Linked DNA regions of Mytilus edulis. The protein of the gene in region 1 purifies or fractionates together with the protein of each later gene. This does not show direct contact. Links are inferred from orthologs where the notes say so. Each region holds a gene or a part of one and is shown on either strand. Other genes may lie near its edges. The genes, in order: transmembrane protein 192-like and lysosomal aspartic protease-like.

What was found.
Region 2: the proteins of transmembrane protein 192-like (region 1) and lysosomal aspartic protease-like purify together in Homo sapiens (affinity purification with western blotting; 3 studies listed by BioGRID, with this or other methods). This does not show direct contact. The link is inferred for Mytilus edulis from reciprocal best matches to the Homo sapiens genes TMEM192 and CTSD.

The regions. Positions count from the first base shown.
Region 1 is NC_092348.1:90,363,282-90,379,042, forward strand, and holds the start of transmembrane protein 192-like, read left to right. Parts: upstream 1-9,388; 5' UTR 9,389-9,490; coding exon 9,491-9,526; intron 9,527-11,331; coding exon 11,332-11,478; intron 11,479-13,820; coding exon 13,821-14,091; intron 14,092-14,868; coding exon 14,869-14,997; intron 14,998-15,761. Other genes in the region: deubiquitinase OTUD6B-like, read right to left, coding at 4,999-5,309, 6,076-6,439, 7,191-7,409.
Region 2 is NC_092350.1:72,007,526-72,023,787, reverse strand, and holds the start of lysosomal aspartic protease-like, read left to right. Parts: upstream 1-9,823; 5' UTR 9,824-10,153; coding exon 10,154-10,215; intron 10,216-10,911; coding exon 10,912-11,047; intron 11,048-11,636; coding exon 11,637-11,760; intron 11,761-12,727; coding exon 12,728-12,846; intron 12,847-13,317; coding exon 13,318-13,517; intron 13,518-14,261; coding exon 14,262-14,384; intron 14,385-15,996; coding exon 15,997-16,144; intron 16,145-16,262. UniProt on the Homo sapiens protein: Acid protease active in intracellular protein breakdown. Plays a role in APP processing following cleavage and activation by ADAM30 which leads to APP degradation.

The DNA.
Region 1 (15,761 bases):
AGTTTTTTCTTCTATAATGGATGTGATGCTGCTTCTGGTGCATGGTCAATAATCACTAAACATACAGGTTTTGATATGTGACTACATGTATTATTAACTCATTTTATATTTCATGTTTTTTGTCAAACGTATTTCTATTTCTATTTTTGTTTATTGTCTATTGCAATTGTATGATAAAAAAAAATCAATGTACTGATTATGCCTGTATAAATAGGTCCACTATTTGAAATAAAATATATCTTATACTAAAACGTATACTAAGTAACCAAATTATACAAAAAGTCTATAATAAACAATGCAAGGGACCAATAGTATGTACCAGCATTTCGTGTGTGTTCTAGTCTAGACGCCATCTACTACTAGTTAGCCATAGAGTGATAAATTGTTTCACCAACAAACGAAATCAATAAACCTGAATGGTACAGTTAACAACGAATATGCTCTATTTTTATTTGGGACAGCCACAACCCAGTCCTTCTTTTCCAATTTATATCCGATTACTTAATACGAACTTTTCACCTGGCTCTCCTTTAGTGTCAGCAACACAATCGGTGCCACTAGTGGTACATAAAAGTGTTACCCTTCCAGAGCACTCGAGTTCAGCTAGATTTTATTATTTGGTTCGTGCTGCTTAATCAGTATTCCATGTATAGTTTTTTGTAGACTCTGGTTTCTTATTTCCCCAACTATTTTTTTTATTGAGAAGTTAGTGTCGTCTTATTTTCCAAAATTGTACGACAATAGTTCTATGTACCTTTTGTTAGATCGTTGATCGAATATTAGAAAGGAGTAGGTTGAATGCCATCAAACTTTAATGTCCACAAGTTAGAAGTATTGTCAGTGGTTATGTTAAGTTTTTTGTGTTGTGTTTTCAGTCTTCGAATTTGGAGGCCAGCCCATAATCTTTGCTATATCTGTTTATTTAAACTTGTTCATATTCTAGGCAATTTAAGGTTATGGACACTTGTCTTTTTGTTATCTCTTTTGTGAATATATCGAAGTTATTTCCAGACCTTCATAATTCGAATTCAGGACTGAGAACAATCAATTAGTTGGGACCTCTTGAATTATATAAAGGACATCAATATCAATAGTTCGTTTTCATGATATCCAGAAGTATTTCATGACCTCCATAATTTGATTTTAATGTATATACCAAAATCGATATAAGGATGTCATGAAATCTAATATGTTTCAGAGAGTGTCAATGATCAGAATTTCGTGAGTATGTTACAGACTGGCTACTTAATAGGTGTGCTCCACTAAGATTACGTTGCTGCTTTTAAAAGTTGTAAAACTTAATTCTCTCTAATTGTTCTATGTACCGTTTGTTAGGTCATTGATATTTATAAAAGGAAGGGTTAAGTTGATTATCATTAACAAAAAAAGTTACACAAGTCAGGAGTATTGTCAGTGTTTTTTTGTGATTTATCTTTTTAGCCCTTTTAAATTTGGTTTTAATGGCAGCCCATATCTCGTTTTTAAATATAAGCAATTTAGGGTTTGAAATATAATAACACTATTCTTTTTGTTATCTTTTTTGTGTATATATTACGGTCGATGTTATTTCAGAACCTCCATCATTCGAAATTCAAGAGAACCATCAATTATTGAGAACCTCTTGAATACCGGTGTATAGAGGACCTTAATGGTTCGTTTTCATGGTATCCAGAGGTATTTTAGGACCTACACAATTTGATTCCATGACCCCGGCTCAATAATTTGATTGGAATTTATCCTAAAATGTACTGAAATCGAATTGTGGCGGTCCTAATACATTTCAGAAGGTCTCACTAATTTGTAAATATCCTGAATTCGAAATATGCAGGTCAAGAAATATTTCTTCTCTTGTCTACTTCAGGGAAATCAGTCAAAATATGCACGTTTAAAACGTTTGATAACGACTAGTATACCATTTTGTATCCCAACTCTTTCAGATCTGCTAGACAAGCATCCACCAACTTCACTTCTTGACCCTTCATTCATTCTGCCTCTTTTAAGTTTTTTGTGTTTCTTGGGATGAAACAGGACAGTAAAGGATGTTCAGCCACTGACAAGAAAGTTATAAAATGCCTTTGGTTGCTAATGTTTGTTAACTCTTAATTATTTCCGCATATTCCAATAATATCATAGTGTGATTCTTATCTTTTAATTGTAACAAAGTTTTCCTTATTTTGTATTTTCTTCCTAAATTAAACCTGCCAGTTTTATATCTTTCATAAAATGGTGACACCAAAGATATGTTTTGACATAATTCTTCATTCTCATAGTCTTAAAATGGATCCACAAGTTATTGTCTGGTAACTCTAAGAAACATGTCTTCCCTTTGTAGGGCAAATACTTCCAAACGAAATCCCAGCCTTCCCTTTGGGATATGGCTCTTTGTGGTACAATTTCAGAGAGATCCATACACTTACACACAAGTTATGGTCCAAAAACTGCAAAAAGGTTTGTTTTTGGACCCTGATTCCTGAACTATTGGTACCACCCCCAAAATCACCTTAACCTTCCTTATGTCATAATAATAATAATGTGGAATTGGTAAAATTTCATAGCGATCCATTCAATTACACTAAAGTTATTGTCTGGAAACCAAACGTTTCATCAGATGGCTACATGATTGGATTATACGAACGCAAATTTTTTGTGGTAGTATAAAAAAAAACTCAAGACCATTTACAAGTAAAATACAGAAAAATGAAAATAAATATATTTCAAAATTTCTCTTTGTATTCTGTATTTTGGTTATTAATATCAAGTTTCTGTCAAAATTTCATAAAATTCCATGAAGGTTTGACAGCGTTAATGTTATTGGTACCTAATACTTGAAAATCCACAATTCCATGAAGGTTTGACAGCATTAATGTTATTGATACTTATACTTGAAAATCCACAGACTGAACCTAAATGATTTAATATGATATGAAATAAATGGGGAATGTGTTCATGAAACACAGATGATTCCCCCACTTGCACATAATGTTATATAAGGACATAACTGAAGAACAGTTAAAGTGATGCTATCCAAATTTGTACTTAATCTAAGTTTTGTGGCAACAAGCATTGTGTCACAGGTTTTATAACATTTGGTAGATGCAAACTTAATTTAAGAACAGAAACAAAAAACCTCAGCAATTTGTCTATATATGTAAAGGGACATAACTCTGGAACAATAATAGTGACACCATTAAATTTTTTACTTGATCTAGTAATATGCATTGAGTAAAACTTTCATAACATTTGGTTAAGGCAGATTAAGTTAAGAGAATGGAAATGAAAAAATCAGCAATTTTTCCATTTATAAAAGGGCATAACTCTAGAACGGTAAAAGTGATGCCATCAAAATTCAAACTTGATCTATGTTTTGTGGTAATAAGCATAAGTTTAATAACATTTAATTGAGGCAAACTATAGTCATGGAACAGTAACCAATTTTAATATGAACAGACATATGGACGAATGTACATTGGTAAAATTTAATGCCCCTCTGCTACTGTGGGGGCATAAAAATATTAATAACAAGCATTCTGTGAGTATTGCAAGGCAATACATAGTCCCCTACCGGTTAAAATTTCATTGTAATGGAACAAAATTCTAACTTGATCTATAACTTGTCATTGTGTAAACTACATAAAATAACAAACAAACCTACAACTGTATCTGTATTAGCCTGGTATCCCAGCACAATATCTAGCTGCTCGTAGTAAGGCTGACAAGATTAGCCAGGACCCAAGACTATATCTGTATGACATGTGAATAAATTGTCGATACTGATACTGGCTTTAATACAAAGGTTTGAGATATCGTTGTTTTCCAAAAATTAAAAATCTGGAAAACTGATTTGCAGGACTGACTGACAGACAGAGTGCAAACCGAAAGTCCCCTTGGACTCATCGGTAGGGGACTATTTAGTATCAGAAGTGCATTGTTTTAAAACTATCATTTTTATGGAATAAATGGTTTTGATATGTTTTAATATGATATTAAATAAATGGGGAATGTGTCCACTAATAGCTTGCTGTTTCGGTGTGAGCCTAGGCTCCGTGTTGAAGACTGTATCTAGACCTTTAATAGTTCATTTTTATAAATTGTGACTTAGATGGAGAGTTGTCTCATTGGCACTCATACCACATCTATTATGATATTTGAATTCAGATGAATTGTAATGTAAAACACAAATGTGATGTAACTCTTAGCTTCTGATAAGTCAAATAGCTAGGTGCCTTTGACTTATACAGGTCTCACTGTATTCAAGGAATTACAACTACCTCCAAAAAAATTATGAAGTCTAGTGATAATTAAATAATAAATATCCTGTTTATTGTTTTGTGATATTTTGAAATTTGCTTTTAATTGTATCTAGATAACTTTAAAATGCAACATCAATTATATCAATGTATCAAAAAGACATATACTAAGTATGACAACTGTAGAAAATACAACATTGTACAATGCATTCTATATTTCAAAAATTAGCACACACAAATCACAATAATACTGTTAAAATATTTTACTCAGCAATTTCAGTTTTACAGCTCTACCATACATGTATACTCCATATTTTTATAAATGTCTTGTATAGTGAGACATGCAGTGAATATTTTAATGTCTTTTAATAGCCAAACATTAACTTAATTTAATTGATTAAGATATATAGATTTGTACTCAGTTATGTAGAATAGAAAAAACATGCATCATATTTTTTATATCTAGTTGCACACCAGTAAACACATTTTACTCTGAAACTACCATAATTTTGAACACAACAGTTTTAATTAAAACACTGATTTCAATGTTAGTTTCAGTCTTTCAATCTATTTTTAAACTTATCTGCTGTCATAAATTGAAAATTAACAACCTTAAAAGATTTTTTGTACATTGTGTTAATTTTTTTCAGATGATGTTAAGACCAAAATGACTGTTTAATATTAAAATTCATTTTTGAATGGCCTTCTGATTATTCTGAATAATATTTTATATACCTAAATAAAATTATTATCATGAAAATGCCTCTTCATCAGGTACATAAGTTTCAACTGAATTATAATGTTCACCTAGTCCAAATGCATGTCTATGATAGCAAACTGTTAAAGATTCTGAATCATATTCTTCTCCTATTTTGATTTGTGGGCCTTCGCCTTGAATTATTTCTATAGGATGATGTAATGTACTTGACATAGCCTTGACCTCTAATTGACCTCCCCATTCAGCTGTCTCAGCAGTTTTCAGTAGAAATGTTTCAAAGTCTTCGTCATTGTAAGAATCACCATTTTCCTTGGTAAGAAATGGTAGGAATTCATCTGGATTGTCTGTAATTAGATCAAGCATCTTAATCTTTATATATCAACTTTTATTAATTTTGTGTTTTCATTAAGATAATGGAGAATGTGTCCCATACTCTGCTTATATATTATGTTATAAAGGCACATTATTCAAGAAAGGTGTTGGTAAAAGTGACACAACCCAATTTTGAACTTGATCTGTGTTTTGTGGTCTTAAGCATTGTGTATAAGTTTCATAACATTTGGTTAACATGGTTAATGTTTAAAACTTTAAACTGAAATTAATTTGGGACAAACAGACAGATGAACAGGATAACACTGAATGTCCTTCTGCTGAGGTGAGGCATACAAAGTCTTAAATATATCCCTATAAGTCAATTAAATTAGTTCAAATAGACACTAAGTAATGGTTCTATATATAAATACATGTACAAGATCAACATATAACAATTGAATTATACACTGAATAACTGTAATGTAAAGCATTTAATTTCAGCAGATTCATGATTGATGTGTAATTACCTTTTTGTTTTTAATTTTTTTATCAATGAAGTGCAAAAAATTAGTCATCTATGACTATGACATTTTATGCATTAACAGTACATGTATATAATGTATAAACTTTTTAGTTATGTATTGCTATACATCTGTACATGTCTACATTTAAATAGGTGCAAGCATCTTTTAATTATTTTTTTATGGGAGTGACAGTACTGGGACCCCAGAATGTTTCCTTGAAACATCTTTGAAATGTGCCTTGTGTATCTTGAATGTTGTGGAAATAAATACATACCTCTCATATACTGTGCTGTCTTCCTTCTGAGTGTTTCATATGTCTCATGTGGAACTTGATGACTAATGGCAGTATATAAACAATTTCCATCAGATGGTATCTCAAATATTTGCAAATTTTTAGTTTTTAATATTGATTTGATTTTTTCAAATTCTATATGTCTTGCACCAGTTAAATTTAGCAGTTCCTGTTCTTTAATTCTTTCCTCTCTCTCCTTATTTTTTGTTGCTTGTTTCTCTCGTCTTTTCATAGCCTTTGATACTTTCTTTTCTTTTGAGTCCTCTCTGGTTTCTACATCACCACCAGCAGCCTCACTGTCACCCATGTTATCATTTGTTTCCAGAGAACTAAGTCTGTCTGTTACCTTAAATATATGCATTCAATCATGGTTGAATATATAACAGTAAATGTCAATGAAGATGACTATCGTAAGGTACATGTTATACAAATTTCAACTAAAATAAAATGTCTTGTAAGTCAGAAATTCAAAGTTAACTGGTTTTTTTTTAATCTATTAAAAGGACTATGGAGAATTTCATTCTTCAAACATTAAAGTATAATTGGTTGATTTGTTATTGCTTATAATATTGTAAATCAATTACAGCTTCTGCTGTATATACAAATGTACTTTGGAAAAATCTGCATAAATGACTAGGATTTTGACATTAACAATAACAATTGTGTTCAGTGTATTAGCATTTACTTTTTCTTTTTCAACATAAAATTAAGTAAACGTACATATATATATACAAATGTATTTTTTGAAAGAATAAGTGTCAGCGTTTGAATGAGTATGTACAGAATAAGTATGTACAGCTTTTCAGAGTGCTCATGGTAGTTTGGCATGTTGATTTGAAAATGTTGGATAAGATAACAAGCAATGTCTATGAAATAAAGTCTGTCATTTGAATATAATACCTACTCCAGTTACATGTATATTCAGTTGCAATATTCAAGGATCACATACTAGCATCAAGCTATTGAATTCACCTTCCAGTCTGTTAAAAATAAGATAAGAATAAACTTCCAATGATAAAACTACAAATGTACCAACCAAATGCCAAAAAGGAGAAGATATTTGATTAAATTGATTTATTCTTAAATTAATTTGTCACCTCCTGGTTTGTTTTGTCTTTGAATTCTTTAAGTTCTGTTTCATGTTTTTCTGTCAGTTCTTTTTCTAACTTTGTTATCTGTTCTGCAATTTCCTTTTTCTTCTTTTTATCTCCCTTTGACACACTATGCTTTAACTGTTGTATTTTAGCCTGCAATTCCTTCTTTTCTTTTTTATGTCTCTTCACCACTGAGTCCTCTTCATTTTCAGAGTCACTCATTTTCTTTCCTATCTATATAGCCTGAAATGTATTATAATATAAAATAAGGTAAATATATGAGTGAGTACAGACTAAATATTGGCAAACACATCCAGGATAAAAGGGTCTAGTGAAAACATGTCATTTTCGCAAATGTACGGTTCCCCATATCCAACATACACAATAATAACAACTAAGAACTGGACCATATTATACATGTATATGTTCCAGACCATATGAGTATTTGGACCGTACGCGTACGGCGTACGGTCCGGACCATATACGTATACTTGTACGGTCGGACTGTATGAGTATACGCGTATGGTCCAGTATTAGCTGACCATACATGTTATTGGATAATATGGGTTACATTTATCACAATCTTTATTTTTAGTTTTACAAATTGTTATTATTACATAAGATGGATAAAATGAATTACCTAACAATTTAAATTAGATATTTGTTGAATTGTATATCTGAATCTTATTTTGAAACTCTCGCCAAAGGTGACACTCGCTACCAAAACGATATTTTTCATATTTACATTTTTTCAGTTCATGCATGTTCCTTTCGATTAGCATTTTTTTGAAAAGTTGCTAAATATTCTAAAGCAATTGTCCTCCCACATTATACGCATTCAATTTCAGTGGGAATAATTGTCATAATTCAATTAGTGTATTATGTATTACTGATCTACATGCTAAATACTAGAGATTTACAGATTTAATTAGCGTGAATTTTTTAAATAGTTAAAATGTAAAGTTTTTATTTCAATTACAATTGATTTTTTTCTATTTATTTAAGAGTTAAGTTATGTTAATCTGTTATATGTATTTGTATCTAGTACAATTGACCAACTCCTTGATATTAGTCAGACCGTACGCGTACTTTTCGAAAAAGTACGCATACGGTCCAGACCGTACGCGTACGGTCCAAATATTCATACGGTCTGGAACATATATACATACCGTTTTTTTTTTTTACAAATTCACTGCATTTTCACATACTCAAACTTTCAACAATTAGCAAAATAAACCACAAATGAAACTTCAATTTCAAACTCACTCGACCTGTATAAATTTAAAAGATTAAAAGAGGTCATCCTTGGAAATTAAAAAACAAGAAGTCATTCGCCTCAACATTGCTCAACACCTTCAAACTTTTTCACAAAGGATTATTATCAATGGAAGAGTCAACTGATTCCCGAAACTGAACATTATTATGTTCTTGTAATATCTGCTAACATCATCATAAACATCTTTTAAAATCTTTTATTATTGGGAAGAGTTGGCAAATCTTAATTCAGTGGGATAACAGACCTTTATTCATAGGGATCTATCTGAGACCTTTTCATGTAAAGCATCCATCCATCAACATCATGAGTAGGGCAGATTGGCAGGCCAAAATTTAGGTTCTTTTTAGCATTTTTAGTCCCCTACTGAAAAAGTTGAAGGAGAATTTAGGTTTGCTATCTGTCTGTCCCTCTGTCTATTTGTCAGTCTGCCAAATCAGTTTTCAACTTTATTTCCTCATGATGCTTGAAGATATACATTTTATATTTGGTGTATTATTTTATCATGACAAGTTTAAAAAGATCAAGTTAGAATTTTGTTCCAATGCACTGGATTTTTATCTGGTATGGGGACTATGTATTGGCTAACTTGCTATCAATACGCACAGAATGCTTATTCAATTGTAGGAGGAGTTGGTAGAATGTGGGCCGAGTAAGTAGAAAGAGGGGCGAGTTTGTCTCCAGTGTTATTTTTAAAAGGGACGAGTTGGTATGGGGCGACTGTTCTTTCAAAAGGGCTACACATATCTCTGACCTGTAGTCAAGCCTCTTTGAATGAAAACGGTTAATAGAATACCTACACTGACAATAAAAAATAGAAATATGCCGTAATTATCAAGTAGTTCAGGCTTTGTGAACTGACAGAAAAAGCTATGCGAAATCGCAAAAGTGTGTCCCAGTGACCGGAAGTGAAATCTTTTTCGATGGAGGGGAGAATGGTCTAGCGATTTTTATTTTATTTTGGATAAATATTAATGAAATCTTTTACTGGATTTTGCGACGTGACAGTTAAAACTTTCCTGATGAAATAATGGTCAGCTTATCTAACGAATCGAGACACACAGGGGTATGACTTTCACTGCAGTCTGCACTCTCATTCGTCAATTATGACATTTTAAAAAAATTTGATCAGTTGACAGTTGACTGGCATTATAAGCATAAGGCCAAGGAATTGTACACAATAATACGGAAGTAGATTCGTTTTATGTATCAAGGTTCAGCCGTAATGTAAAAAAAGTACTGGGTGCACATGTTTATGAACTTAAGGTTTATGTGTACCATTTGCCTAAAATTACCGTATTTTCTCAAGATTTACTCTGAGTTAACAGACTGACACTACAGACAAAACTGTGCATCTGGAAACGTTTTAAGGCATAGCATGCTCTAGATAAATAGAATTCAAATGCATTGTATGATTTAGAAAATTCATAAATTAACCGGATTTTGCCTTGCACTTTTTTTCGTCCCTGCAGAAGATGATAAAATTAACTAACAGTTGAGTTTCCCTTGATATGGTCCACCCAGGTACACAGTTTAAATCACCAATTATTATCAGGTATCTATTGTTCGTGTCAATCAATACAGCTCACCCCAATTATTACATGTGGGGAAGTTCTCAAACCTGTTTCCCAACTTAGTTTATTTTGGCACTTTCTGGAGGAATGAAAAAAAAGTGCACTGCAAAATCCTGGTAAGTTTTTATTTTTCTAAAACATTAAACATATTTGAAATTTATTTATCTGGGGCATGCTATGACTTAAAATTTTTACAGAATCAGCGCAGGTTTGTCTGTAATCAGAGTAAATTTTGAGGTGAACATGGTGAAAATACGGCCATTTTAGCCAAAGGGTCCACATGTACATGAACCTTAAAGTAGAGTTGTGGTGTAAACAGGTGTCATAGATGAAAAGTCATCACACAACATCCCTGTGGTACAAGTATCAAATTGACAACACATTCGCATCCTACATATGTTCACTCACTACACATTAGATCTTGGGTTGGTTCAGACCCTCTTTTTATACAAATACAGAATTAACATGACTAATTAGTTATATAAACATGTTTAATAGACAAAAACATCACATGTAGGCTTAGTATAATGTATTCCGACGTCCAACAGCTGTTTTGCCAGACAAGCTCTGACGTCCCACGGCCCCAGCTTGACTGGCAAAACAGCCATTGGAGTCAGAGTAATCTCAGACTAAGTATTGTATAATGCAGACCAAATCCCTACTTTAAAGACAACTTGGAGGAGTATAAAGACAACACAGATCAAATTAAAAGCTACTTGGACCAGTTTGTCAGTCAATTAAAGTTCAAGAATTTGAGCATTTTTAATTTGAAATCTACCTTGCTGTCCACAAAAGTTTAAACGGTTGAACAATTCCTTATTGGAGTTAAAATGCCCTCAATTGTCGATTCTACCATTTTTTTTTTTTCATTTTTTCTGATTATTTTGAAAACTAAAAAACATGTGTGTAAAAGATTAAGAAATTTTAACCAAACTGAATGTTGTGATTCACCTGTTGTCCATTTACATCAAAAACTTTTTTAGAGGAGTTATTGCCCTTACAAGTTACATGTAAGTGTAAAAGATCTTACAAATATCATTATACAAAACAGATGCATTTACCATTTCTACTATATCTACAATTATATAAACATAAGTTTTAACCCTAAATGAAATATATAACTAAAAATGTACTGAAAGTTTTTATTAATAATATAGCTTCATGATTGTTGATTAGTACATGTATGACCAATTGAGCATCTGACTGGTCTATGATTAAAGCAGCTATATCTGGTGGCAGAAATAATACTGTCAATGCAAATACATGTACTTAAAAATGCGATCATTGTTTATTACAGGGCTATTTTTTCAATGAGGATGGATCAGGACAGAACAAAGATACAGAAGACTTACTATCAGAAAGTCCTGCTTTAAGTGCTGAATTGGATCCCCCTTTTAGAAAAATTCACATAGTTTGGGCTATTGTAGTGGAAATACTACTCTTTGTAAGTTTCAACTTTAAATATTCAGCAATTGAACAAAAGAGTTTTCCCCCAAATTTTTCAATGGTTCATTTCCTGATCAATACTTTTGTATTTTGTGCAGACATGGTTTTATTGATATGGAAAATTTCTTATGTCAACTTTTTAAAACTGTTGATTTGTTTTATACACAAAGTTTTGTCTTCCCTTTTACTTACTTGTAGATGACCTAGTTTGTCAGCACTACTTTTTATACGACCGCAAATTTTGAAAAAATTTTCGTCGTATATTGCTATCACGTTGGCGTCTGCGTCGTCGTCCGGCGTCCGAATACTTTTAGTTTTCGCACTCTAACTTTAGTAAAAGTGAATGGAAATCTATGAAATTTTAACACAAGGTTTATGACCACAAAAGGAAGGTTGGTATTGATTTTGGGAGTTTTGGTCCCAACATTTTAGGAATTAGGGGCCAAAAAGGGCCCAAATAAGCATTTTCTTGGTTTTCGCACTATAACTTTAGTTTAAGTTAATAGAAATCTATGAAATTTTGACACAAGGTTTATGACCACAAAAGAACGGTTGGGATTGATTTTGGGAGTTTTGGTCTCAACAGTTTAGGAATTAGGGGCCAAAAAAGGGCCCAAATAAGCATTATTCTTGGTTTTCGCACAATAACATTAGTTTAAGTAAATAGAAATCAATGAAATTTAAACACAATGTTAATGACTACAAAAGGAAGGTTGGTATTGATTTTGGGAGTTTAGGTCCCAACAGTTTAGGAATTAGGGGCCAAAAAGGGACCCAAATAAGCATTTTTCTTGGTTTTCGCACCATAACGTTAGTATAAGTAAATAGAAATCTATGAAATTTAAACACAAGGTCTATGACCATAAAAGAAAGGTTGGGTTTGATTTTGGGAGTTTTGGTCCCAACATAATAAGGGGCCCAAAGGGTCCAAAATTAAACTTTTGTTTGATTTCATCAAAATTGAATAATTGGGGTTCTTTGATATGCTGAATCTAACTGTCATGACTGTGTATGTAGATTCTTAACTTTTGGTCCCGTTTTCAAATTGGTCTACATTAAGGTCCAAAGGGTCCAAAATTAAACTTAGTTTGATTTTGACAAAAAATGAATCAGTTAGGTTCTTTGATATGCTGAATCTAAAAATGTACTTAGATTCTTGATTATTGGCCCAGTTTTCAAGTTGGTCCAAATCGGGGTCCAAAATTAAACTTTGTTTGATTTCATCAAAAATTGAATAAATGGGGTTCTTTGATATTCCAAATCTAATTGTGTATGTAGATTCTTCATTTTTGGTCCTGTTTTCAAATTGGTCTACACTAAAGTCCAAAGGGTCCAAAATTAAACTTAGTCTGATTTTAACAAAAATTGAAATCTTGAAGTTCTTTGATATGCTGAATCCAAAAATGTACTTAGATTTTTTATTATGGGCCCAGTTTTCAAGTTGGTCCAAATCAGGATCTAAAATTATTATATTAAGTATTGTGTAATAGCAAGTCTTTTCAATTGCACAGTATTGCGCAATGGCAAGAAATATCTAATTGCACAATATTGTGAAATATCAAATTTTTTTTAATTAGAGTTATCTTTCTTTGTCCAGAATAGTAAGCAAGAAATATCTAATTGCAAAATATTGTGCAATAGCAAGATTTTTTTTTAATTGGAGTTATCTTTCTTTGTCCAGAATCAACTTAAATCTTTGTTATATACAATATACAATGTATATTCACTTTTTACTACCAACTGATAAATTAAAATAATCTTTACCATTCAGTGATAACAAGCAGTTTTTTTACATCTTAATATTTTATGATGTATTTAAATGAGTAGTTATTGTTGCAAACTCCATTAGAAATTTTAATTGAGATTAGTTTTGGAATAAGGGAAAGGGGGATGTGATTAAAAAAATTGGGTTCAATTTTTCTCATTTGAAATTTCATAAATAAAAAAGAAAATTTCTTCAAACATTTTTTTGAGAGGATTAATATTCAACAGCATAGTGAATTGCTCTAAGAGAAACAAAAATTTTAAGTTCATTAGAACACATTCATTCTGTGTCAGAAACCTATGCTGTGTCAACTATTTAATCACAATCCAAATTTAGAGCTGAATCCAGCTTGAATGTTGTGTCCATACTTGCCCTAACCGTTCAGGGTTCAACCTCTGCGGTCGTATAAAGCTACGCCCTGCGGAGCATCTGGTTGTAACTTGAAGTGGGTTTTTTTGTTGGAAAATTCTAAGTATATAGCATTTGATCCTTCATTTTACAAATTGTTATTTAAATTCTTGGACAGCCATTTTCCTCTTTTTTTTCTATATTTTTACTTTTTATTTATTTTTCAGACTGGTCTGGTCATAGCTACCTTTGTGCTACCACATATAGCAGTATTACAACCTGATAGAAATGCTACAAAACATGAGGGTAAACATTTAGGATCACATATTGATGAAATATCCGTAGCCTGTTATGTCCATGGAGGACTCTGGTTTGTCCTGCTTGGGTTTGATCGATATTTGAGATACCACCATTACAGACACAGAATGTGTGGATATCTGGAATTTTATCGAAGAACGAGACATTTACGTAAAATACCTTTGCTAGCAAATTCAGCAGGTGAGTGAAATTATTTTGTTAGGATATTGTAGTGGATATCCTAAGAGAAAAAAAAATTGGTGCATGGATTCATCAATGGAAATTTAAATTGTGTACAGTGAATTCATAATTATTCTGATACCAATTTTTTGTGGATTTTGTGGGTACAAGTGAACCACGAAATTAAATGTTCAAGAAATAAAAAAAAAATTATATGCTTGTATGTAGATTTGGCAAAACCACGAAATCAAATGTCCATGAAACATGCAAGTTTTCCTTAATCCATGAAAATAAATGAATTCGCAGTACACTATGTATTTGTTATTATTATATTCCATAAAAATAAAAAGATGTGGTATGATTGCTAATAAGGCAACTATCCACAATACTTCAAATTACAAATGTACATGGATGTGAGTGATAATAGGTCCCTGTACAGCAGTCACCAATGAGAGAAAATCCATATGTCAGCTATTAAAGGCCATGGCATGAACAAACAAGAAAACTAATTTAACACAAGTCAATTTATTAAAATCAAACATAGACCAATATGGACCAACAACAAAATGCATTTATTGGTAGGAAGCACCAAGATATCCTAGAATCCTATAAATTTCCTTAAATCACAAATAGTAACCTAGTTGTCATTAACGTTTATTCTATGGGACATACATTTAATTATTTTGATTCTGTACATGTTCTGTCTTGATGGAGTAACTTTGAGTCTGTTTTTGTCTGAGACAAAGTCAGTTATTTTTAATCTATTATATTATATTACTATTGATTGATATTTAACAGGTAATGCTGCCTTGTTAGTAGTTCTGAAGATTTTACAAGATTTGAATGGAACCCACACCGATCTATATATAGAAATAGTGATTGCCTTGGAGGCTGTGCTAGCTGTGTCAGTGCTGATGATTTATCTTGGTAAATGTTATCAACAATATTCATAAACATTTTAAATTTTGTCAAAAATAATGTCTGGAAAAATCTGTTTTAAACTTGGTTTAAATTTGTTTGTTTTTTATTGCAACATAATTTGATTAAGTTCTTTATCATTTTTATTATCTTTTCAAAATGTACACTAACAAAAATACATTGCAAGAAAAATTCAAAGTCCATCAACAAATGTCAAAATCAAAAGCTCAAACTCATCAAAAGAAAAGAAAGCAACTGTCATATTAACATGATATAATTTGCAGGCATTGAGTTATGTTCAAAATCCAACATGCCTCAATACTGACTCATTTGAATAGGTATCAAACTACTAATTAAAATTTGTTAAATTAAAAGCTTAATTTGTATTTCTTATACCATGTATACTTGACCTTTTCGTTACAATTTTTTGTTACATTTGTAGAAGAGTTGATAGAGATTAAGGGGAGATAATTCTTAACATGAGAATGATAATGTGGAGATAATCTATCATTTTTTAATAGAAAACTTTGAAAAGATTGAAGACTATTGAGATACCATTGCATTATACATTTGTAATTTGCACCCCCTCTCTTTATCCTGATTTGAGCCCCCTCTCTTTTAAAAATGACTGAATCCACCTCTGCATCTTAATGTGCTAGAATACAAAATATATCCAACAGATTAAGAAAGTAGTGAGACCTATAATGTACATTGTAGTTGTGAAAAGTGCATTTTAGTAAATATTTCATTAATTTTTTTTCAGTAGAAACAGT
Region 2 (16,262 bases), on another chromosome or scaffold:
AAGCACGATTGGTAGTCCTTGATTATTTGATAATGAAGGACTCATATGGCGCGGAATCAGGGTCATAAATATCGATTTTAGTATATCCTAAAATGATTTCAGTATATACTAAATTACATTTTAGCATACCCTAAATTGATTTCAGGATATACTAAAATGATTTTAGCATATACTAAAATCATTTTAGGATACCCTAAAATCAATTTAGCATATACTGAAATATTCAGCTTATACAGAAATATAGGCGCGGAATCAAGGTCATAAATAACGATTTTAGTATACACTTAATTGATTTTAGCATATCCTTAATCCAATTTGCTAATAGTTTTGTTCACCAATGAAAAGATCGCTTTCTGGACGAGTTGGAAAGACAGTCATTGCGGATCTTGCTGAGATGTGGCAAATGTCCTCTCACTTGATTTCATCTCAGTTGTTTATATTTTATTTTTCTAAATATTTTTGCTGGAAATGTATAGATATAATTGATTGTTTAGTTGCAACTGGTACCAATGAATGATACTCTATGATTGTGAGATAAAGAGCGCTTAACAAACCTCCTGTTATCTGATGCAGAGAAACAAACATAAATTTAACAAAAGTTCAAGTTTATTCACTTGTAAAAAAACAGCGTAAACAATCATGCTACCCAGTATTACCTCAAATATAGTATACCATCAGTATTGTCTACTTTATTTTTTTTTACAATACTTAAACAATATCACAATATTGTCCTACCAGTATTGCGATTGCCAAGTACTGGAAATCCACCGTGTATACAGCTGCAGATAGAACAAACATATGGAACTAAAAACAAAATGTCATTTACAGTGAGATCATTATATAGAGAGTAATCCATGGCCTTTTCCATATCGACTCGGGTATCATCCTGAGACCCCCATATCAGCCCGAGACGTAGTAGGTGCTGATATGGGCCAATATGGAAAAGGCCATTTACTAATCTCTTTATCATATACCTCCGACAATTGTTTTATGTAAGGCAAATAAACAAAAAAATTACTAAAACAGTCAAAAACTTTATAAAGATGATCTATAACTGTCAAAGGCCTTTGTCACTTCCTGTAGATCCATATTAGAAAGTACTAAACTTTCATCATCAGTTTAAAAATTGATATCATGAAATTTAAGCATGTTTACTTAGAACTGTTTTTCAATAACAGCTGGTTCTGTACAAACAAATTTAGCACTAGATCCAATACACTGTACATATCGCTATTTGTCCGCCATTACTGAACTTCACAAAAGTTTCCGTAAAATTTTGACGTCATAATAAAATGGCAAAGTTATAAACAAATGGAAGTAACTAGCCCGAGAAGCACTGTTATGGTTTTTTTGCACGAGAGGCCATTGGTATGGGTTATTAGCCCGGGTGGAAAGTTATGGCTTTCCGTTTCCGTTCTTTACACATATGCAAAAGCTATCATATTAATGCTAAGTATATGATAAATGATCATAACAAATGGACAAATATGGCTGTGTTTACACCCAAAATATTATACTCTGAGCACATGCTTACCTGTGAAATTTAAGGTCTGGCATCCTCTAGATATATAAAAAAAAAACTTAATTCATTGATTGTTTTAGAAAGCTTAAATATTTTTTTATTTTGATGGGCAACAAAAATCTAGATAATATTTTGTGCTATAATCTGGATGTTATGCACAGCTAAGGTTTGCATGATTAACTACCTCAGATATAAACTGCACAGTTCAGATGTACTCTAGTCAAAACATTTACTAAATGTTATCATCGGTAAAAGGATATCATTCTTAAATATAAATCAACATGCAGACTTCTTATACGTTCAGGCACAGTCGCTTGAATTTTAGTGATATATGTATGAAAAAAAAATACTGTAATATGTATAATCTAAATTTCAAGCGACTGTGGTTCTGGTATTTCACATCCAATATCTTATGCGTGGTAATATTCTTTACAAAGCACAAAAATGTCGGCATACACCTCAAAAGCCAACCAAACCCTAAAATAGACTTATTCGGAAAGGATATAGTTACGATACTGTTGTCAGGTCATTAAGGATTGCATATTTTGGTATTAATATTGATTCACTCATATTGTTTTTGCATCGGAAATAAACACATTTATTCTAAAACCAGTCAACTGTAATTGGCATGATACGGGTTATGTTCTTCTCATATATTTTATGATGGTATGATACTTAACCCCTAACGGGAGGGATTTTACTTGATTTTCATATGATGAAGACATAATCTTTCAATCAGTTTAATTGAGGTCTACAGGTGGCATGTCAGTAACTGCTACAAGTCCTTTGTTAATTTATGTATCATTGTCATTTTGCTTGGTTTCTTGTGTTGTCTATTCTGACATCGCACTCGGACTACCTTTAAACTGAGTTTTACTGTACGTATTGCTATGTGTTTCTTTAATCTACATTGGATATATATATATAGAGGTATAGGGGGAGGGTTGAAATCTCAAAAAATATGTTTAACCCCGCCGCATTTTCCAGTTGCGCCTGTCTCAATCCAAGAGCCTCTGGTCTTTGTTAATAAGGGCATACGATACAGTTACAGGGGAGGTAATGACGTTGCTAACGTAAAATGTTATTTTCGCGACGTCAAACTATGACATATCGGGAAAAGATGCATTTTTCGACTGATTTTTATCATTCAAACTGATTTAATTTGAAAACGAGTGCATGGACCCCTTTTTTTTAAACGGTAATTTGTTTCATTTTGCAAGGAGATTATGTGACCCAAATTTTATAAAACTGTAAATAGCGCAATTTTTTCAATTTTGATAAACATGCAGCAAAAAATGACGTTTTTTCCCCTGTTCATTAACATTTGATAAATATGAGTTATTTTTGAATAAAAATTGCATAATTTTTAATGATAATTATAAAATACAGAAATTACCGATTATTTAACAAAAAACAATTTGTGTTTATCTTTTAAAACAAAAAAGTTATGTCTCTCTTTCGAAAAAGAAAATACGGCCATAAATCTGAATTTTGAGCAAATATACAAAATTTCGACCTCATTTTACTCAAAAAGTAGCACATGAAGGTATATTTTTTATTACATATTTGATTTAATCAGGTAAGAAATAGCCGATATGCAAATTTTCATCAACTTGTAAATACAGGTTCAAAACTGTATCGTATGCCCTTAAGTCTTGTATGTTTTTTTTTTTAAATTTTAGTTCATTTATATGTTTTGGAGTTTATTGTGACGTCCATTTTCACTAAACTAGAACACAATTTTATTTAGGGGCTAGCTTCGGGTGCGGGATTTTCTCGCTGCGTTGAAGACCCATTGGTTGCCTTCGGCTGTTGTCTGCTCTTTGGTCGGGTTGTTGTCTCTTTGACATATTCCCCATTTCCATTCTCAATCTTATCTAATATCTTGAGGGGCGGATGCAGGATTTTCAAAGGCATATGGGTTTACTAGTAAATTGGAAATACATCAGACTTCGTTTACATGGGACATGTCTTCAGAATGAATAAAGATGAACAATATGGGAAAAGGGGGGGGGGGAGTTAAAGATTGAAAAGTTAAACTTTTTTGTTTGTTTTGTTTACTAAATGCACAATAAATTTATGTACATCTCTTTTCGGTTAATCTTCCTCTTGGCATATTCATTTAACGAGTTAAAAGTACATCAAACGGAACTAAAACTGTAGAAGATGTGAGTTATACGTCAATTAGACAGCAATCAAACGACAAAAAAAACACCTAATAGATATAGGAAGATGTGGTATGAGTGCCCAAGAGACAACTCTCAATCCAAGTCATAATTATAAAAGTAAACCATTATAGGTCAAGGTACGGTCTTCAACACGTAGCCTTGGCTCACACCGAACAGCAAGCTATAAAGTGCCCCAAGTGTAAAACCATTCAAACGGGAAAACCAACGGTCTAATCTATATAAAAAACGAGAAACGAGAAACACTTATGAACCACATAAGCATATCTATAGAGGGCAACATATAGTGTTCAACAATAGACAGGTGTATATATAAACTTAATCCAATATGTTGGTTTTAAAGCTCACTCAGAGCTTATGTTGTAGTATCCTGTTTTTTTTTCTTTAGATTTTGCATCTGTTGAAAAGATAAACTTTTCTAAAACTATTTGAGGATGTACCTACTAGGTGGATTTTTTTTAAATCTACAATTTAAAATTGATACACTAAGTCAAAAGAGCATTAGTAGGGAATCAGAATGTATGATTATTACCCGTGGTTATACACGCCGACACCCGGCTAACCGAGAGATTGGTAGGTTAATCTATATTGAGTATGCGACTATATGGGCGGTTGGTCTGTTAATCGGGTTTGTTATACGTATATATAAAAGTATATCTTTGAAGTTCTTTTATTGACAAAAATCTATATTACATAAAGACAAATATGCCAGTTAGAAAAAGGTTTATATTCGAACAACGAGAATTAACGGCAGTTAGAAGAGGTCATGAAAGTTTTACGATTTCCTATGTATCTTATCAGTCCTCATGAAAATCGTGCTTTAATGTTATTAAGTTTGTTTGTTTTTTTTGATTTTCAACTAAATTTTGAATATCCAACCGACTGCTAGTCATTTTTGCTAGTAGCCGGTTGGATATTGAATATCGAATATCGAATAACGAACCGGCTGCTAACTTCACATACATGATAAATACGCAGACATAAACGAGTGCAAAAGTAACATTCCTTATCGTTTGTTATAAATACTCTTTAATGAATACTGATAAAAATATTTTTGTTTATAACATAAATCAATAATATGAAAACATCATTGATAATATCTTGTGCACACGTACCGAAAAATTGTGTGAACTTGGTCGCATGTGGAAGAATACCTCAAGAACATTTTGCGGCAATCCCACAACAATCGGTAACTCTGCATGGAAGTTTGTCTTTGAGGGGAAATATGAATGCCTACGCATATCCAATCTTTTAGAAATCGAATTTTTACAGAAGAGTGTCCACCATGCACTTTCAATGCACTTTTATAAGAATAGTAGAATAAAATGATGTACCAATGGATGAAAATTATATATATATATATGTTACTGTTATATTAATATAATATATGTCACCAAACCAGTGTATACTGATGTGTATCACTTCAATATAATAGTCTTAAGTTGAGGTTGAATTTCCTGTCATTCATTCATCATCCACGCACGAATTTGTCTCAGAAAAAATATATATCTGTACATTAACCTCAGTTTCAGGTATAGAGATACATTTTATAGATTTTTTTTTCTTAGACATGTGCTTTTGACCATCCACAAGAACTTGCGGTCATCCGATGTTCAGTATTTCAGTACTTTGATTAGTATTTTGAAAAGTCTAATGGAAGTCTAGTATGAAGATTTGAGCTGAAACTTTAACGAATTACAAACTTTCTAGGAATCATTATGTTTCTGTTCTTTTCAATGAAATTTTATTGGTAGCTGTAGATCAGATTAAGCGTTTTGTGAGTTAAAACATATAAATCTCTGAGTACATTTGCATGTGATTAAAAACACTTTACTTTTGTAGAGTATATTTTTTTGTATCGAAAATAAATACATAGTACACAGTACGGACACTATAAGTAAGCAGTCAATATGAAAATAAGGAGATGTAGTATGAGTGCCAATGGATTAACTCTCCACCAAATTAAAGTTTAAATAAAATGAGTGTATAATGAATTAGACAACAATTTGTTGTTTTAAATAAGAGAGTGCGGAACAATAACGAAGTAGTTGATAAGGATTGGAGTCGAAAGCATTTGTTTCAAGCGGGGTTCATCGAGTTTACAACCTCAGTGTCGACAACCTAGTGATTACTGTAGGTATACTTCATAGATCGCTCGGCAAACCAGGCCTCGGAAATTATTTAACTGATTGAAAAAATATATGCCATTGGTATAATTGCCGATGAGACAATTCCATCTCTAAAAGAGAATTTAACAACTATCATAGATCACCGTCCTTCAAAAATGAGCAAAATCGATACGTCACAAAAAGCTTTAAAAGGCCCCAAATAAAAAAAATGTTTAAAACAATTCAAACGAGAAAAGTAACGCGGCCTGATGTATAGAGAATAATACATGAAAAAATCCGTATCATATGTCGTATCATCCCGAGACACCAATATCAGCCCAAGGGCCTTTAGGCCCGAGGGATCATATTGGTCGAGGGTGATACGGCATGTGATACGGATTTTGCCATGTTTTATACGCTTTATCATATATTTCAACAGGAGAGTATTATATTATATAATCTGTTTTCTGATCCATAGCACTGGGTTACCTTCCGTTCTACTTTTGTCTTGTTTTAAAAAGCCTCAAAAGAACTGCTCAATTACTTATCCGAAGCACCTGGGTAACCTGGGTAACCTTACAGTTTGCGTGCTGTTGTTTTAAAAATATTTTGTTTATATTGTATTTTTTATGTGTTTTGTATATTTTATAGTTGCATTTAGTGTGCTCAAAAATATGAAAACTTGACGTAGGGGTGTGATAAAGGGTAGGAGTGTGCTAAAGGGTGGATTAAACAGCAGGCTATTTATCAAATATTTAAAACTACTGTATTTACTACTAAACATATGATAAATTTACATAACAATAAACGGGAAAATAATATGATATATAGAAACAAATGACAGCCAACAGGTTACGTGTTCCTGACTTGGACAGTCACATTCAGAATGTGGCGAAGTTAAACACTTAAAATGCTGGCGCCAAACCCTTCTCTAACAGTGTTGAAACAGTACAACACATACAATATTGTGCCAAAGTTTTCGTAACTTCATTATAAGTCAAAAACTAATCAATATTCTATTAATTAACTGATATTAATGTTATACAAGTATGATGCAAGTAATATTTAAAATTCCACTTTGGTCTCCAGAAGAGTGGTTTAAATATATATTATATTTATTGCCGTTGAGTTGCTGTCTCATTGAAATATACTCAAATCAGGTTTTAATGAAAAAATAATGTTATATTGGAAAGAGGAACGCATTTCAACGTAGATAAATCAAAAATATAATATAAATTCATGTTTGATGTATTCTCTCCGTAAAATAGATGCGTTTCAAAATGACCATAACGCAAAAATAGTGAAGTTGCCTATAATATTATATATATAGTGAACGTCAAATTAGCGATGCTGTGACATTTTTATAGACCAACATGCGACCGCTTTGTTTTGATGATTTTTGCATTGCTCTTTACCTTATAGTTTAAAATATCAAAATGTTCATTTTGCAAAGGGATTTGACATTATGCTGATGTTTTCGAAAAACTAATCTTGTTTTTACTCTTTTTGAAGGTTTTAAACTACATACCCTTAATAATAGTAGACACCCATTCAACGCATCGATATCCGATACTTATCGATAAAAATATAATTATTTTCATTTTTATTTAGAATTTATCATACTGGCTTCATATTTCTGTTCTGAAAATTATAGCACATTAATTTTCGTTGTTTTCTATGGCCAACACCGAAATTACTAACGTAAAAAGTTTGTTAAAGGTTTTGTGACAGGGGACCTTTTGGGATTCATTTACTTAGTATTTGTTTTGTTTAATGTAAAATTAAGATTGCTGTCCGAATGAATGCCGTTCAAATGTTATAGAATAGGAGGCACGTTTGATTTGTACATTAATTACGCCAAAAAAGTGATTATATACAACGAATGAGAAGAAAAAGAAAAACAGTACTTCAAGAATGCAGTTATAATGAAAAAAATAATGACTAACGAATTTACGAACTTTTAAAAATAATGTCCAAATTAGCCATCATCATCATAATACAAAGATCAAATTAATGGAACAAAATCATCTACAGATACCGTACTTTTTTTTCATTCATCAAACTGGTAAACAAATAACTACCGAGAAGAAAATTCCATGCATGGTATTGTACTGACGGGATTAAAAAAACGAATTGATGTTTTCTGTCAATGAAAAAAAATGTGTGGACTTTAACGGTGCTTTTTTGTGGACTTTAGTGTAACTTGTTATTGTGGACTTTAACGGTGTTTTCTTGTGGACTTTAGCGGAGGTCATTTTGTGGACTTTAGCGGAAAGTTTGTGGACTTTAGCGGCGTTGTGGACTTTAGCGGCAAATTGTTGTGGACTTTAGCGGTGTTGTGGATTTTAGAGGAATTGTGGACTTTAACGGTGCCACAACGGTGCAACAGTATCCTTCTAGTAAGAGCATTTTCATGTTGACTTTCTTTGCATTTTATTGAAGGGTGTGTCACTTCAATATAGCGTGATATGGATTGGGCGCTAAAATATGCATGAATTTATTATTAACGTTTTTCAATCAGTCTTAATTTTTGTGTCTGTTCAAAGTACCACGTTCTAAAATCCGACTGAAAGTGTCTTTCTAATACAACACAGGGTACATATAACGTGTTGTCGTTCTCATATGCACATGATATTTGTCACTGGACGTTAAAACCCTAATTCGTCAGCATTATCCAATTGTTTTTTTTTTCTATTACTAATCATATGTTGTTTACAAATCATTCTAAAGAAGTAAATGGAAAGGAGCGAATCTAGCTACATTTGGTTATCTTAAGTTTTAATTCATTTATCGTTTAGTTCCTTTCTACCTACATAAGTGCAAAGGAGAACTGCAGTTGTCCGCTTGTACACTTCTAGCATTTGTCATCAATTTGAGTACATCACAATCCGTTACTGGGGTGTTTCATCTCTGTATTCTTAAAAAAAAAAAAATTTCTCTCTTTTTTAGCAATGCATCACTCTCTACTGTCCTTATCTACAATTCTATATTCTGCGTTTTTATCCAGATTCTCGTGTACACCTTGAGGGTCCGGATTGGATTTTTTGTTTATTTCTGTATTCTTTAAATTGTTATGTCACTTTTCTCTACATTTTATTTATTTTACTCATTATTCTTTATATTTTAGCATCCCAAAATAGTATCCGCAATACACACTGAACTTAAGATTTAAACCAAATACATGTATGAGTAGCTTGTAGTCAGGATAATATTAAAAGATAGAACTTTATGTTTCAACTCAGCGTGCTGGTCTTTTAAAGCTGAATACATTTATACAATATAAACATATAACATACAAATTATTTTCACCTTGCTTCTCAATGCTCTTCAACTTCGTACTTTATTTGGCTTTTTTAACTTTTTTTGGATTCGAGCGTCACTGATGAGTCTTTTGTAGACAAAACGCGCGTATGGCGTATATACTAAATTTAGTCCTGGTATCTATGATGGGTTTATTTACTTGCATATGTATGTCCGTTGCAGCTAAACAATCAATTATATCTATACATTTCCAGCAAAAATATTTAGAAAAATAAAATATAAACAACTGAAAATGAAATCAAGTGAGAGGACATTTGCCACATCTCAGCAAGGTCCGCAGTGACTGTCTTTCCAACTCGTCCAGAAAGCGATCTTTTCATTGGTGAACAAAACTATTAGCAAATTGAATTAAGGATATACTAAAATCAATTAAGTGTATACTAAAATCGTTATTCATGACCTTGATTCCGCGCGCCTATATTTCTGTATAAGCTGAATATTTCAGTATATGCTAAATTGATTTTAGGGTATCCTAAAATGATTTTAGTATATACTAAAATCATTTTAGTATATACTGAATTGACTTTAGGATACCCTAAAATGATTTTAGTATATGCTAAAATCATTTTAGGATATCCTAAAAATCAATTTAGGGTATGCTAAAATGTAATTTAGTATATACTGAAATCATTTTAGGATATACTAAAATCGATATTTATGACCCTGATTCCGCGCCATAGACTCAGTCAGGCTCTGAGCTGTGTGCCTCATTCAATAAAAATCCTGTGTAGCCTAGGAGTTAATAAGAGGGAACACATTTAATTATTGAACACAGGAAACTGCGTTCATTTAACATACTTCATTTTTTAATTGATATAAGACATTTGTGGGGAATGCATGGTCATACATTAGCCGAGACGTAGCTAGACTACTTATCACAGGACCGTATTGCAATCTTTGAAGCGTGACAAGGGACATGACTCAGATAACGCATCACGTGAACATTTTATCACATGATTTGGTTTTTATAAAAGTCCTTGTCAGCCGGTATCTTTTGCATTTACTGGAATCTCACCATGAAGGCATTAAATATTTGTTTGTGCATCCTTCTTGTTACCGTTTGCAGTGCATTACAGAGGTAAGATATCTCAAACTTCGTGCATACTAAAAAAATGTTGTTTTACGCACTTTTTGTTTGTTGTGTGATCATGACATCCGTAAAATTAAAAAAAGTGTAAGACACAGGACTTCCTTTGTATTAATTTTTTGCTTTGTCATGTTAGGTACTATAATTCAAATCGCATTCTGTATGGGAAATTTTGTAAAACTTGATTAACATTCGAATGGTGAAAATAGGGGGGGGGGGGGGGAGTAAAAACACAGGCACTTGAACTCCACTTGTTTCTGTCAATGTGGAGTTTACTATCCACATGGGCACTTGTTTCTGTTAATGGGGACATGTGGATAGTAAACTCCACATTGACAGAAACAAGTGTCTGTGAGTAAAAAATATGAACTTATAAAATAAAGTCTATAGATAAAGTTTAGCACAAGTGTAGTTAGTGACGATGAACCATATATATAGAGGAGAAAACTGATCTCTTGCGTTTGGAAACACTTAGGTAGACTTGGGTAAGTTTCTAACAAAAAGGGTCTGATTGGGGATGAATAAATATTTCTATTGCGCTACCGTAATAAAGTAAAAAAAACAAAAATAATGAACTGCAAGGAAAATTCAGAAAGTCCTTTATAAAGTGGTTTTGATTCCTAAGCTCAAACACATCTCACAAAAGGAAAACAACTGCAATATTCCTACATCAACTCTTATTTTCAGAATCAAATTGCAGAAGTTTAAGACAGTGAGAAGAACTTTAGCAGAAGTTGGCACATCCATAAAAGCTTTAGAATGGAGATATGGCTCAGATCAAATCAGAGGGCCATCTCCTGAACCCCTGGTAGACTATATGGATGTGAGTATTGTTTATAGTCGAAGAAGGAATTGGCATATTTATGAGCTACAGCTAGTGTAGACTGTCCTAGTCTGGAATTAACACAGAATCTGAGAATTGGGAAATTCTTAAACATCTATTGTGCATATCTTTTATAATGTTTAGACAACTTTCTGGATGGGGTTTACAGAAAAGATAATAAAAAGTGAAAAATAAAGAACTTTTAATTAGTTGATAAAATGTAGGGGGGGGGGGGGGGGTTGGAAGGCACATTATATTAATAATACATGGGTGATGGGTATCAGAGCAACTTTTCACACTATAATGCACTATAATTCTCAAATACAATTGTCTGGGTGGCTGGTGCTGACAAAAACTGCCTTCCAACACCCCCATACATTTTTTTCTGGAATAGCCCTTAGATAGGAAATGCCATTTCTTTTCTGTCATTTGACATAAGAATTGAACTTCCTATTTATTTGAAAGAAAAATTTTCTCCAGCAGTAATGAAATTTGAGCACATCCAATCTTTTTTAAAAAGGAGATAAATCTAAAGGCAATATACTAGCTATCAGCACAGTAAAACCTACATGTATATTATTGTTTTCAGGCACAATATTATGGTCCAATCACAATAGGAACACCACCTCAGACATTTAATGTTGTATTTGATACTGGATCATCTAACTTGTGGGTACCATCAAAGAAATGTCATGTCACCGATATCGCTTGTCGTAAGTACATGTATAGTGAAGTTAAGTGAACTCAATGACTTAATGTAATATTCAATTACTTGGAATTACTTAAGGTGGTACCCAATACTTTCACTGAAATTAATTTGGCTCGTTTAATTATAAAAATTAAAATAGATATGAACCAACCGTTTTGTCAGAAAAATTACACTGGTTATATATATCAATTTGATAAACGCCAATTTTGATCATTGAGAAGGTTAATATTCCTTTTACAACACAACGTAATTAAAATGTTTAGCTGAATTTACAGAGTTATCTCCCTGTAGTGTTAGGTACCACTTTAATACATATGATTAATGTTCAAGTACTCTATCAACAATTTCAATGAAGTGTGTTATAAATATAGATTATTTATCGACTCAAGAAAGTTAAATTTAGTGGTGGAAATCTGTTTCTCTACTGATTTCTAGTTGATATGAAGTCATACTTAATCCTTTTTCAAATGCTCTGCTGCAAGATTTGTTCTTTATATATGACCTCATCAGTCATGGTAGCCTTTTTTCCTGGTATCTTAATAGGAATTTTAGAGGCAAGTAAGAACATTTGACGTCATGATCAAATTTTGGCCAATGAAGTACTTATCACTATGGCTAGATTTCAAATATGAACTTAGTACAGATGGGTCCTACTTTTGAAACGAAATGAATGATATCATTATTGGCTTTTCAAAGTCATTGATCCCTAAATTACCAAATTGTTTGAATATTATTTGGTGGATTTTTGATTTTTTTTGTATGGCTATCAACATTACATTTGGAATTGAATGACATTGAATATTTGAAGATTTAAAATCAAGATGGAATGAATAACTATCTTACTCTATACATTTCATATAACATTCACATAACATTTATAAATAGTTTAAAGATGAAAGAAACATTAATTGAATGATTGAAGTCACATTTTAATATCATGACTGAATCATACATAATATTTTCTTTTCCAGTATTGCACCAAAAATATGACAGCACAAAGTCAAGTACTTATGTCAAGAATGGAACTGCCTTTTCTATTAGATATGGAACAGGAAGTTTGACTGGTTTCCTTAGCACTGATTCAGTCACAGTAAGTATCCATATGACAAATTACTAGTAAACAAAATAATAAAATTGAGAATTGAAATGGGGAATATGTCAAAGAGAGAACAAACCTTCCTCCGCAGATGACAACTGAAGGCCTCCAAAGATTTTTGTCTTCCTTCTGTCTCAATGAACAGCATAACAGAATTTTGTGATACTATGAAATTTACTTACTTGATTTACTATTGCATTTCATTTTCCAAAGTAATTTTTGGGGTTTACATAGCCATGACATGGACTTTGTCTTATCGATAAACTACATGTACAGTACACATCTCGCAAAGTGCATAGTCAGAATGGGACACTCTTGGTGTGCATCCACTCTTAAAACAATAGATTAAATCTGATATGAAATTATATGAATTTTGGGAGTGGCATTTAAAATGTTGCTGTGTCTTCTTTTTTTGCATGAATCGATAACATTTTAAAAGAAAACTTTTTTCGCTATTCTTTATAGATTGGGAGCATCACTGTGAAAGGTCAGACTTTTGCTGAAGCAGTTACCCAACCAGGAATTACATTCGTTGCAGCTAAATTTGACGGTATTTTAGGAATGGCCTATGAGAGAATTTCCGTAGATGGTGTTACTCCAGTTTTCTATAACATGGTTAAACAGAATTTGGTGCCAGCACCAATTTTTTCATTTTACTTAGACAGGTATGAATTACATTTGCATACTGAAGCATCACTAGTTTTCAAGAGTAGAACATAGTCACCACTAAATATGATAAATATTTTTATGTATGTGAATAATTGATCTTTAAGAATTGAATTTGTGAATGTTTTGCTATTGATAATCTTTGATTCCTCTGGAAATTTGTCAATAAAAATTGAGAATGGAAATGGGGAATGTGCCAAAGAGACAACAACCCGACCATAGAAAAAAACAACAGCAGAAGGTCACTAACAGGTCTTCAATGTAGCGAGAAATCTCCATTATCAGATTGAGTCATGAGTGGCTACAAGAAAAGGTTCAATCAGGTTCACAGTTATAATAAGTATACTCTAATCCTACAAATTGACTAAATTGAGAGTGTATTTGATTGTAGATATGATTTTGGAAATTCATTAGTTTCTGAATTTACAGTATTTTTGTCTAAAAAGGTAAAGAAGCATACATGTATGGTAAACAGAAATGAAAGCACATAATATTTAACTTATAACAGAACACTATGATATATGTGAAGCAATTGGTGTGTAGGACGGTTTTAATAGCCAGACATTTAACAGATTTCTGAAATTGAAGTAATACCATTGATAATCTTCTAATATTTGTGCTGATGAGGCTTAAAGCAATCACCAGAAACTATTAAACTAAAAATAAATAGGCCTCATTATAAAAAAAAACACCATCAGATTTCCCAGTCCACTATAAACTTCTATTGTTTATAATTTTTCTAGAGATCCCACTGCAAAAGAAGGTGGAGAGTTACTCCTTGGAGGCAGTGACCCAAAGTTATACAAAGGAAACTTTACATATGTTCCAGTCACCACTCAGGCATACTGGGAATTCAAAATGGACGGGTAATCTATTTATAATGATACATGTTCTTGAAAAAAAATGAAAATGATATACTGTGTATTCTGTGTATTCATTATTGTTCCCTGGATATTAAATTTTGGTGGATTTTGTGGGTAATTGTAAACCAATGAATTTCTATAGTCTTGTATACAAATGTTGGCATAATTAAACACTCAAATATCCAAAGAATTTTTCCCAAATACATGAAAATGTGTACCCTTGAGGATGAATGAAACTGTTAAGGCCAAATAAAAATATATGTGTGGTTCCAGTAACCCTACCGTCCCTACTTTTTCGGCTTAAAAAAAAGCCCACCCTAAAGATTTTATTTTAAGCACTGTTAAAGTCAGAATGTTGCTCCCATAGACTCAATGTAAAAAAAAAACATAAAATAAAAAAAAATCCCTACCTACCTACCCTAACTTTTTTTCAGATGTAACTGGAACCACACATACTTTTTTATTTGGCCTAACTTTATTATTTTGTAATAGGGAATTTGTTTTAAAAGTTTACCTAAATCTGATTAATTATAAATCCTAATATACAGGATATTGATCAAGATGAATAAATTGATAACCCATTAAAAGTCCATTATGCTGCACTTCAGCTTTTGCCCTTGACAAAAGGTTATTACATTTGTCATTTGAAATCAAGCCATAGATTATGTATGATAGATAACAAGTAAAGATGGTTTTATCAGTGGAAAGTAGAATTACTGATGTTGTTCAAGGTCAATGCTCCAATTTTCTAATCAATCCAATTATTGACTTTTCATCCTTTATAATTATTATCTAATCAAATGTTTGTTTTACAGTCCTACAAAATTAACTTGTATTTTTGATAGGACAAAGTAGATGATATATTTGATTTTACTTATACAGTCAGCCTTGATTACACTTGAAAATAGTTCATATTCCAAAGTTTAACATCTAAAGAGTTATCCATTGTTCTATACATTTGGTTTTAATAAAAGACTTGTGGAAATATGTAAATGAGTAAAGACATAGAATTTGTTTGTTGGTGCAGAATCAAAATCATCCAATAATTGTAGTGATTTGTTATCAACAAGATTATAATATGTATACCACAGCTCCTAATTTTATAAAGGATATTCTTATTATTGTATTTAATTTTCATTTTTATGTACTAGAGCACAATGAAACTACAAATGTACCAATACTGAATATTCTTTTTGAAATCTAAAAGTATGAGTTAAACTATACTAAAATCCTTAAGAATCTCTGAAACTATGAATGCTTATAATTATTGTTGATAAAAAAACAGATTGTATTTTCATGTATTGAAACTACTAACATGACTAAAAAAAGGAAATTTTGGTATGCATTAGGCCGAAAAAACTATATATATAAGTGTTTACTGTACCCTGAACGACCCTAAGTTTTTTGCACTGAAATTGGGCAAATGAAATTAATTGATATTGTGGTTGGCAAAAAAGTTCTTTTTGTTGAACAGCTAGTGAAATGCCTAAAATAATCATCAAAAAGCATTGTTTAAAAACACATCTAACTTACAAAAACAACTACCATAGCATTGTATCTCATGCTACAGTACAGCAGTGTCTTATTTAACATTTTGATGCTTTTCTCTCTTTAGAATCATGATGAATGGAAAACAATCCGATTTCTGCTCTGGAGGATGTAAAGCTATTGCTGATACAGGTACCTCACTCTTAGCTGGACCTGTTGATGAGGTCACAAAACTCAACGAAATGATCGGAGCTAAACCATTGGCACAGGGAGAGGTAAGAGGCTATTGTCTGTTGTATTTTTTTTTTAAACAAACACAGTTTTTACAATTTTACAACATAAAGTTGAATAAAAAAAGCTTTTTTTTGGTACATGTAATGTTTATTTTGACTT